2 linked regions of the Danio rerio genome follow. The main gene of each other region encodes a partner of the protein of the gene in region 2 in a complex. Links are inferred from orthologs where the notes say so. Each region holds a gene or a part of one and is shown on either strand. Other genes may lie near its edges. The genes, in order: sptssa and sptlc1.

The links.
Region 1: sptlc1 (region 2) and sptssa share a complex: the UniProt entries of both Homo sapiens proteins name them as parts of the serine palmitoyltransferase (SPT) complex. The link is inferred for Danio rerio from reciprocal best matches to the Homo sapiens genes SPTLC1 and SPTSSA.

What each region holds. Positions count from the first base shown.
Region 1 is NC_133192.1:11,130,143-11,134,613, forward strand, and holds the start of sptssa (serine palmitoyltransferase small subunit A), read right to left. Parts: upstream 3,040-4,471; 5' UTR 3,001-3,039; coding exon 2,898-3,000; intron 3-2,897; exon of another isoform or gene 1-2. UniProt on the Homo sapiens protein: Component of the serine palmitoyltransferase multisubunit enzyme (SPT) that catalyzes the initial and rate-limiting step in sphingolipid biosynthesis by condensing L-serine and activated acyl-CoA (most commonly palmitoyl-CoA) to form long-chain bases.
Region 2 is NC_133185.1:5,705,552-5,710,139, reverse strand, and holds the start of sptlc1 (serine palmitoyltransferase 1), read right to left. Parts: upstream 2,843-4,588; 5' UTR 2,824-2,842; coding exon 2,770-2,823; intron 39-2,769; coding exon 1-38. UniProt on the Homo sapiens protein: Component of the serine palmitoyltransferase multisubunit enzyme (SPT) that catalyzes the initial and rate-limiting step in sphingolipid biosynthesis by condensing L-serine and activated acyl-CoA (most commonly palmitoyl-CoA) to form long-chain bases.

The sequences.
Region 1 (4,471 bases), on a different chromosome or scaffold from region 2:
AAGTTGTAAAGAAATCTGTGCTTTTTGAAACTAATGAAGACAGCAGAGGTTCATCCTTTATTTGGATTATTTAGTCTGACATGTCATTCATTTATTTACTTTTCGTCTTAGTCCCTTTATTAATCCGGGGTCACCACAGCAGAATGAACTGCCAATTTATCCAGCAAATGTTTTACGCAGCGGATGCCCTTCCAGCTGCAAACCATCTCTTGGAAACATCCATACACACTCATTCACACTGATACACTACGGACAATTTAGCCTACCCAATTCACCTGCAGCATGTCTTTGGACTGTGGGGGAAACCGAAGCACACTGAGGAAACCCACACAAATGCAGGAGAACATGCAAACTCCACACAGAAACGCGACTTTCTTGCTGTGAGGTGACCGCACTACCTACTGCGCCACCTACGTCGCCCATCTGCCATGTCTACTGTTGCAAAATATTATAAATATTTCTTAAAATAAAATAAATAGTGTTTAATAGGGGGAAAAGTTGTTGTTTTTTACTCAGACATTTAAAAAGAACTTATTTTACAGCAGCAATCACAATACTGTGATACTTTAAAATCACTGGAATAAATAATTAAATGATAAACTATTTTTGAAAAGTTATTTTATAATGCAATAACACTTCACACTTTATACTGTATTTTTGATTAAATAAATGCAGCTTTAGTGCTATAATTTTCTGTTACATCGTTCCTAAGATTTAAACAAGTTCTTTTTTTAATGTTTTTTATGCATCGTACATAAATGTGTTTTTGAAACCAATGAAGACAGCAGAATTCAATGTTTTCTTTTAATTATTAAGCCTGACATATGTAGTTCTAAAATATTATAAATGTTTTCTAAAATGAAATATCTTGTGTTTAATGGGGGGAAAAGTTGTTATCTTGACTTTTATGAACCGCGGTTTACCTTGAAACCAGTCCCATCATCCCATGCCTAACACACACACACACACACACACACACACACACACACACACACACACACACACACACACACACACACACACACACACACACACACACACACAACTAGTCAAGGTTTGGGGTCGATCTGATTTTTAAATGTTTTAAAATAAGCTTCTCCTGCTATATATATATATATATATATATATATATATATATATATATATATATATATATATATATATATATATATGGGCAATTCCATGCAAATGTCAACCTTGCCATAAAAGATAATTTAGTTTTCACCAAAATAGACAAACCGTTTCTACATTTTTTGTGTTAGCAAGTATTTTACAGTACTGTAAAAATACTCGTAAATGTATCTGTCAGTATTTCAAACTATTATATTTAATTTGCCAAAATCACACAAGTGGCTATTTCACAGCTGTCACATCCATAACGGAAATGTGTCACATCCATAACGACACTTTTTCTTCATAAATGCAAAAATGTCAAATAAAATAAAATCAATCATTATAATTTTATAGTGAGCCGATTCATACCTGTTTGATGAGCATTGTTTCTTTTGGGTTGTGCAGTTTAACTGTCAGAATTTCTAAATAATCTGTTGTCCATTGTAAAAAAATTCGCAAACTTTTTTTGTCACATCCATAACGCATGTTTATTTTCCTAATTTAAAATATAAAACATGTTTACATATTGATATTTTTCTGCTACCATAACTCTGTGGTGAGCTATTTTGGAAAATATAAAAAGAAGTTTCGATACAATGTCAACATATACTTTCTGTGTGAAATTATGTTTTGAGTTTTTACTGCAAATGTCACATCCATAACGCTGGAATTGCTTATATATATAAGGTTAATAATTTTGTTATCTTCTGCATTTACTGTAGTTATAAATTAGCTATTTTTAGTACAAACACTGTGCAATAAGTCATAATCATGATTTTTCAATTCCAAATAAACAATAAGGTACATTTATAAAACTATATTGAAATAACTGTTAAAAAAAACAGGCCAAGCAAAACTGCTGCTGTCTTGGGGCTATTATGTTTTCCAGTCTGGCAACCAAAAATTAATCCAATAATTAATGGATTAATTATTTTAATTAATACATATAATGTTTTTTTGTTTGTTTTTTTTAGCAAATGTATGCATTTCTTTTTATTTAGAAGAAAATATATTCTCTATTTGTCCCACTTGAATTTAATTTGGGCTACCAAAACAGACCAAAAGTCTGCCTGTCCAAACGGCTACCAGAGATTTTGAAATTTTGCAAGCGCTGGAAAAATATAACAGAAAATATCTTGTCAGGTTGTTTTTTGTTTTACTGTCTGTGGGTTAACCATATACAAACCCAGCACTAAAACACTGCTGTAAAGGTGTCAGGTGACATCATTTCCCAGGTGACCACAGAAAAATGTATTTCTCACGACAAAAAAAAAGGCATCAAGTAAAACAGGTTACAGTGAAACTGAAGATCAACATGTTCTCAGAAGACACCTGGAAATCAGGTCATGTTGTGTCACTGATTTAAATATCACACGTCACACCCACAAGTGCGACACACCACTCATTCATTCATTCATTTATTTCGCAAATACACACAGCTAAATACTTCCTGATTATCGTATATTAATTATAACCGATAATAAAAAACAATGACGATAATAATTTAGCTTAAAAGAGGAACTAAAATAATCAGCTGTTACGCAAACAAGTTAACACACCAGACTTCCAGAAACCACGCGTGTCGGAAATACATTATGTATTTTATTTTAATAATGTCAAAAACATGTCTTTGTATTAATTTATTAGTTAGTAGTACGCCACGAAAAAACAACTAACACTTAAAGAGCGAGGAAACAACTTCATACCTTCACCGGAGATAACAAGACAGCCCAAATAACGCTCCTTACGCATACAAAACTCAATGTTTTATGATAAAAGGATACTGAAGATAGTCCTCTCCCAAGGCTCCAGCATATACAGAGCTGTTACGAGCAAATACTGGTAATAAAACCAAGATAATTGTTTCCAGGCATCTCCAAACGCCATGTTTTCTGTCGGCTCGTGTTGGTCCCACCGCCGCTCCCTTCCGGATTGGACTAGAGCGTGACATAATAAAAGTCACGTGGTAAGGGGAAAATGTTGGCACTGAGTGTCAAAATAAAAGTCCGACTGAAATCCAGATCACAAAACAAATAATGTAATAAGCTGTTTTTATATTTGTTAGGGATGTTAACGCTTCGAGCTCACGATCAAGTGTTTACTTAACCCTCATAAGGCCTTTAAAATTATTGTAAGTATATTATACTTAATATAAGTAAATATGACCTGATTTTAAAGACTAATATAAGTAAAATAAGCCAGAATCAAGTCATAGATTAATTAATGGATTTTTATAAGTTTGTGAGAGAAAAGAGAACGGTTTTGAGACAAAATTAGAAACTGAATTGATATTTTAAGTCATTAAAAGTTTCTTTCAGTTGACAAAGAATTACATTTTAGCCTGGAATTAGGTTTAGGCATTGTTTGTGAAACTGGGGTACATAAACAGAGTATTTATCATTAAAAACTAAAAATATCAGAGTCTAAAATAACCAGAAAATCAAATGTTTCTTCAATACCAGTTGTGAGAGCAACAAATAATAACTTGACTTCAAGTTTATCATTTGGAAAAGTGGCAGAAGGTAGATTTTTAGATTAATTATCTGTTGAACTGCATCCCAATCATCACAAATACTGCAGAAGATCTATTGAAACCCTCATGGACCCAATAATGTCACAGAAACCAGTCAAGTTTGATGGAAAAATCATGGGGTTACATTCAGTATGAGAGATCTGCAGAGTGGATGGTAACATCAACAGCCTAAAACAGGGGGGTCAAACTCAATTCCTGGAGGGCCGAAGCCCTGCACAATTTAGTTCCAACCCTGCTCCAACACACTTACCTGTAGGTTTCAAACAAGCCTGAAGGACTCAATTAGTTTGATCAGGTGTGTTTAATTAGGGTTGGAACTAAACTGTGCAGAGCTGCGGCCCTTTTGGAACTGAGTTTGACACCTGTGGCCTAAGGAATCAAGACGTTTGTGCTGCCCATTACATTACAAACCACAGGAGAGGGCAAATTCTTCAGCAAGAACAGCGCTCCTTCTCATACTTCAGCCTCCACATCAAAGTTCCTGAAAGCAAAGAAGGTCAAGATACTCCAGGATTGGCCAGCCTAGTCACCAGATATAAACATTATTGAGCTTTTGTTAGGCAGTGTACATAAATTTATTATATGTGTATTTAGAGGGTTTTAAAGCACAATCTGCCACTTTCCCTAACAGACCAGCCATTCATTAGGAAGATTATATGCATTTCCAGCAGCAAGTAAATAATTTACATGTCACTTCAGTTTAATTCCCATCAATATCCTCTCCAGGTACAAAAATACAATAAAAAAAACCCTTAAAGAACATATCTTAAAGCCAATAGAATCAACTATGTGGAAATATGAAATGTCATTTACATGAAGCTGATC
Region 2 (4,588 bases):
ATGAGAAAACCTTCTAAAATTAAGTGATATGCTGGGGCCTAGAAAAAACAACAACAACAACAACACACAAATAGTATCAGTTCCTTTGATTATTAGATGCATTCATAAGAAATTGTATAAAATGGCGACAAATTAAATAATGTAAAAGAAATCATTGATGGATTTCATATTATAGCCATATACATATCATATTAAATACATACAATATACATTAGATGATTTGATAGAAGAAAACCCTGTTAACCCTTGTGAATTCACAATGCTTTGGTTACGTTCGGAATGAAAACATCTGCTAAATTAAACTGTAAAAATGTATCAGATATATAGGTATTTCTTAATTTTTTTCCAGAGATATATTAAACATCCTTAGTCCTGTTCAAAACTACTAAATGTTCTTTTAATAAAGGATTTTGACTCTTTAATTCCCAAGTTTGTAATGTCGCTGATTTTTTATATAAAAAGGTAACTGTGAAATGGATTTAATTGTACCTTTTTTTGTGATTATTTATTTATTGCAGAACAAAGCCAGCATACATAGCTAGCGACAACTTTGTAAAAACCAGGGTTTGCATTAAATGAAAATACATAAAGAATAAAATAAAAATATAATAATAAAATAAAAGCAAAAAATTATAAACAAATAACAATACACAGGAAAAGAAAAACTCTAGGGTGAGAATTATCTAGTTATTATATTAAAAACTTTCTCAATAAAATCAGACCATGCTTTGATTGTATGGGGTTTAGCTCTGTTAATTCTTGCTGTAGAACGTTCTAATTTTTGAACACATTTTATCCACTGGGAATGCGGGTTCATGCCATATTTTGAATATAACCTTCTTGGCTGCAGTATGAAATAACCTTTTAGTTAGTTTAGATCATAATCATCATTCAATAAACAGAAATTGGGATGTTTAGGAATAATTATTTGTACTTTTAAATTACAGTCTTGGACATGTAAAGGTTAGTAACAACATTGGCTTTGCTGCATTGTTTGTTTGTGTGCAGAATCAGATTTTTATTTATTTTTCTTTCTAACATACTGTGTGTGGCTGTTTTTGCCCCATTGACTTCAATTATAACTACATTTTTGGATTGCAAAGCCATGACAGCACATAATCACATGGTCTTAATTGTTGGTGGTTTTCCCTGTTGGAAAAAGGTGCAATTTGTCATTATTACTGATAACAAAAATATCACCTAATCATGATCAAAATAGCTTAACCTCCTTCAAATAGGCTCAGAATCTCCAGTTCTCAATTCCACTGTATAGTCTCATGTTTGAGCAAAGCATATTTCAGTTTTGTCCGTCACACTACTCATCATGACATTACTTTTTCCCAATTTCAATATAAAAATGTTGTCATTAAGAGAATATTGGTCAAATTGGAAAAAAAAGTCATATATTCATATTAAACATGTCAAATATTAAGAAATGAAAACCCTAGTTTTCATTTACAGCAACGCCTCATGTTTGTTATTCTGGCCTATTGCCAAAAGAAAACAACAACTTGGAATTAAATTATTTTATTTGGAAGAAGCCCTTATAGAATAAAACATACATTAACCTTTTACACCAAATACGCAAGAAGAAAATTCAGTACATCTTGAGAAACTGAGAATTTTCAAGTGATCTATTGATTTTGTTTCCTCCTCATAGCTGTACATCGATTAAATATACAGTTGAAATCTGAATTATTAAACCCCTTTAAATTTTCTTTTCTTTTTAAAAATATTTCTCAAGTGATGTTTAACATCAAGGAAATTTTCACAGCATGTCTGATAATTTTTTGTTCTTCTACATGAAGTCTTACTTGTTTTATTTCGGCTAGAATAAAAGCAGTTTTTTACATTTTTTAAAAAGCCATTTTAAGGTTAAAATTATTAGCCCCTTTAAGCTGTATATTTTTTCAATAGTCTACAGAACAAACCAAATTACCCAAACCTGCCTAGTAAACCTAGTAAAGCCTTTAAATTTCCCTTTAAGCTGTTTAGAAGTGTCTTGAAAAATATCTAGTCACATATTATTTACTGTCATCATGACAAAGATAAAATAAATCAGTTATAAGAAATAAGTTAAGCCATTCCATGCAAATGTCAACGTTGCCATGAAAAAAATGAAGTTTTCACCAAAATACGGAAATTGTTTCTGTTATTTTTGCACATTCAGACTTTCTGCTTAATAATATAATTTCAGAAAAATACTCTTTGCAAATTTTAAATAGGGAAATCACAACAGCAGTTAATGACTATCAAAGTACAACCTTATTTACAGTCAATTACATAGTGGTAACATTGTTTTGAAGTCATCCTTGCGTGCTATTTCAGACTCAATATTCAACTTAGCGCGATAAACAATATATGGGCCATTAAAAGAACGAATTTGCGAATACCAAACCTACTTTACCTCAACTTACTACACAATTTGGCAACAGATAAAAACAAAATAAACAGTGTTCTTGTTATACAATGACATAATTCAATTTTTAGCAGAACCTATATTTGTGTAAATCCACCACCATTGGTACAGCACTATAGCTACTAGTAAAGGTAGAATTAGGTGTGCAACTCACCTGTCTGACTGATACTCATGTCATATTTAACACTTCCTGGAGTTACACTATGAGACTACTGAAGATTACATGTGAAATACAGCCGAATACAACCACCTACGCCAGTCCTGTTTACCTCAGCAAACGCAGAACAGTCTGTCGATATTTACAAATCTTAAAAACCTCAAAAAGACAAAAGAAGAAAGTTTGTAGTTACCTCGTAAAAAGCTTGCACCATCTCCACCAACACCCACTGTTGCCCCGACGCCATTTTGACTGAGTCACATGATCGCTCTGCGCGACTTCCTGATTGATAAAGAGGCGCCATCGCGTGGAGGAGAAGCGTCATTGCAGGCTTCGTCAGTCGGATTTTCCACCTCTGTTTTTGAATGTGATGTCATTTGCTTGGTCACCATCAAACCAGCATTACGTTATGGTTATAAAGAAACCATTTGTTACATTTCTTGTACTGTTGCATACCGTTTGGTAAGCTGAACATTTAATATAGGCTGCTGGAGAATGTTATGGGGGAAATGCAGTATTGTGTGTGTGTGTGTGTGTGTGTGTGTGTGTGTGTGTGTTGCCGTTGTTGCTGTTGTTTTGTGTTGTCTTGAAATGTAACAACCACTTTAGATATTGTAAGAATTGAAATATTGCAAATATTCTGATATCTTTGACAATTCAAAACATGAGCTGAAGACAGGGCCAATGGACTCCACAACCCACCAGGGGGGAACGCGTGAAAAACCAGTTCCTGCTGCATTTGCATCTGACTATGCTGAGACTCAGCTTCATCCCCCCAAGTCACACATATGGTCATTTCAATGTTTCAATGTTTTAGACTAACCAAACTGACTTTAACTATCATGTTTGATATCATTTGAAATGTCTCAGTGCGATTGGTACAATGGTCTCATTCTCCCAGAAATAGACATAATCAGAATAATAAATATAGAACTACAGGCATCTTTTGAACCACTGTGAGGGGTGTGACTTTTACACTAAGTGTGAATGCCTTTTTTCACACCCCCTTCCTTGAGGGAATTCTTGGATTATTTAAGGTAAGGGTTGAGAAAAACTCAGGGCGATTCTGCCTAACCAGATCAGCCCATAACATGGCTTGTTCCATGTTATGTATATTTCAAAGTCAGGAATGCATCTTTTCATCTTGGATTTATCTTTGATAATTTGATGTTTTGTATTGATCGTTTATGAATTGACTGATTGAATTGGCATAATACATTTACCTGACTAATAAATTGTTATGTTTTGAATGATTCAAACAGAGTTCGTGTTATTATCTTTAGTAGATTGTGGTAATTTCATAGCACCACAAGCCCCTGTTCAGGTTAGTAGCGGACTAGAACACGGTAGACGGAGCATTGCGGCACGTTACACGATGTCTCTAGAGCTCCGACTAACAAATTGGCATTTATTCATGTATACTTAGGTTGTAAAAGGATATCTAAGGGGATAGTCCTTCACCCGATAAACTTTTAATACTATTTAGATAGTATAGTGATTATTCAAAGTTACTACTAGTTTAAGTACGACTGGTCTGCTTAATTCTATAGTAATGATCGTTATATGACTAAATAGCTCTGTCTGATTTAGGAGGTAGCAGACCTATGGGGACCGCATAAAAAATATCCTAATCTGAGTAAGTAGTGTTCTGCCTTTTTAGGATAGCGGTCAATCGCCACTGTTTAGTGACCAAGACTGACATGCTTGTGCTTAAGAAATTGTATACTCGGCCGGTACAAGATTCAGGATGTTATAGAGATCCCAATGAACGAGAATAACATAAAATGATGAACCGAAGAGAATATTCAATCATAATCTAAAATAATGTGAAAGGAAACAAAATAACTTTCTCAATGTTTTATAATTGGAGTCAGATAAAACGAGGATAAACATATTAATATTCTAAACCATCTCATACTAAAATTGGAGTCAGATATGAGTTAAGTTTAATATAAATCAACATTGTGCACTGGAAAGACCGAACATGCAGTGAACCTTCATCCACCACTGGA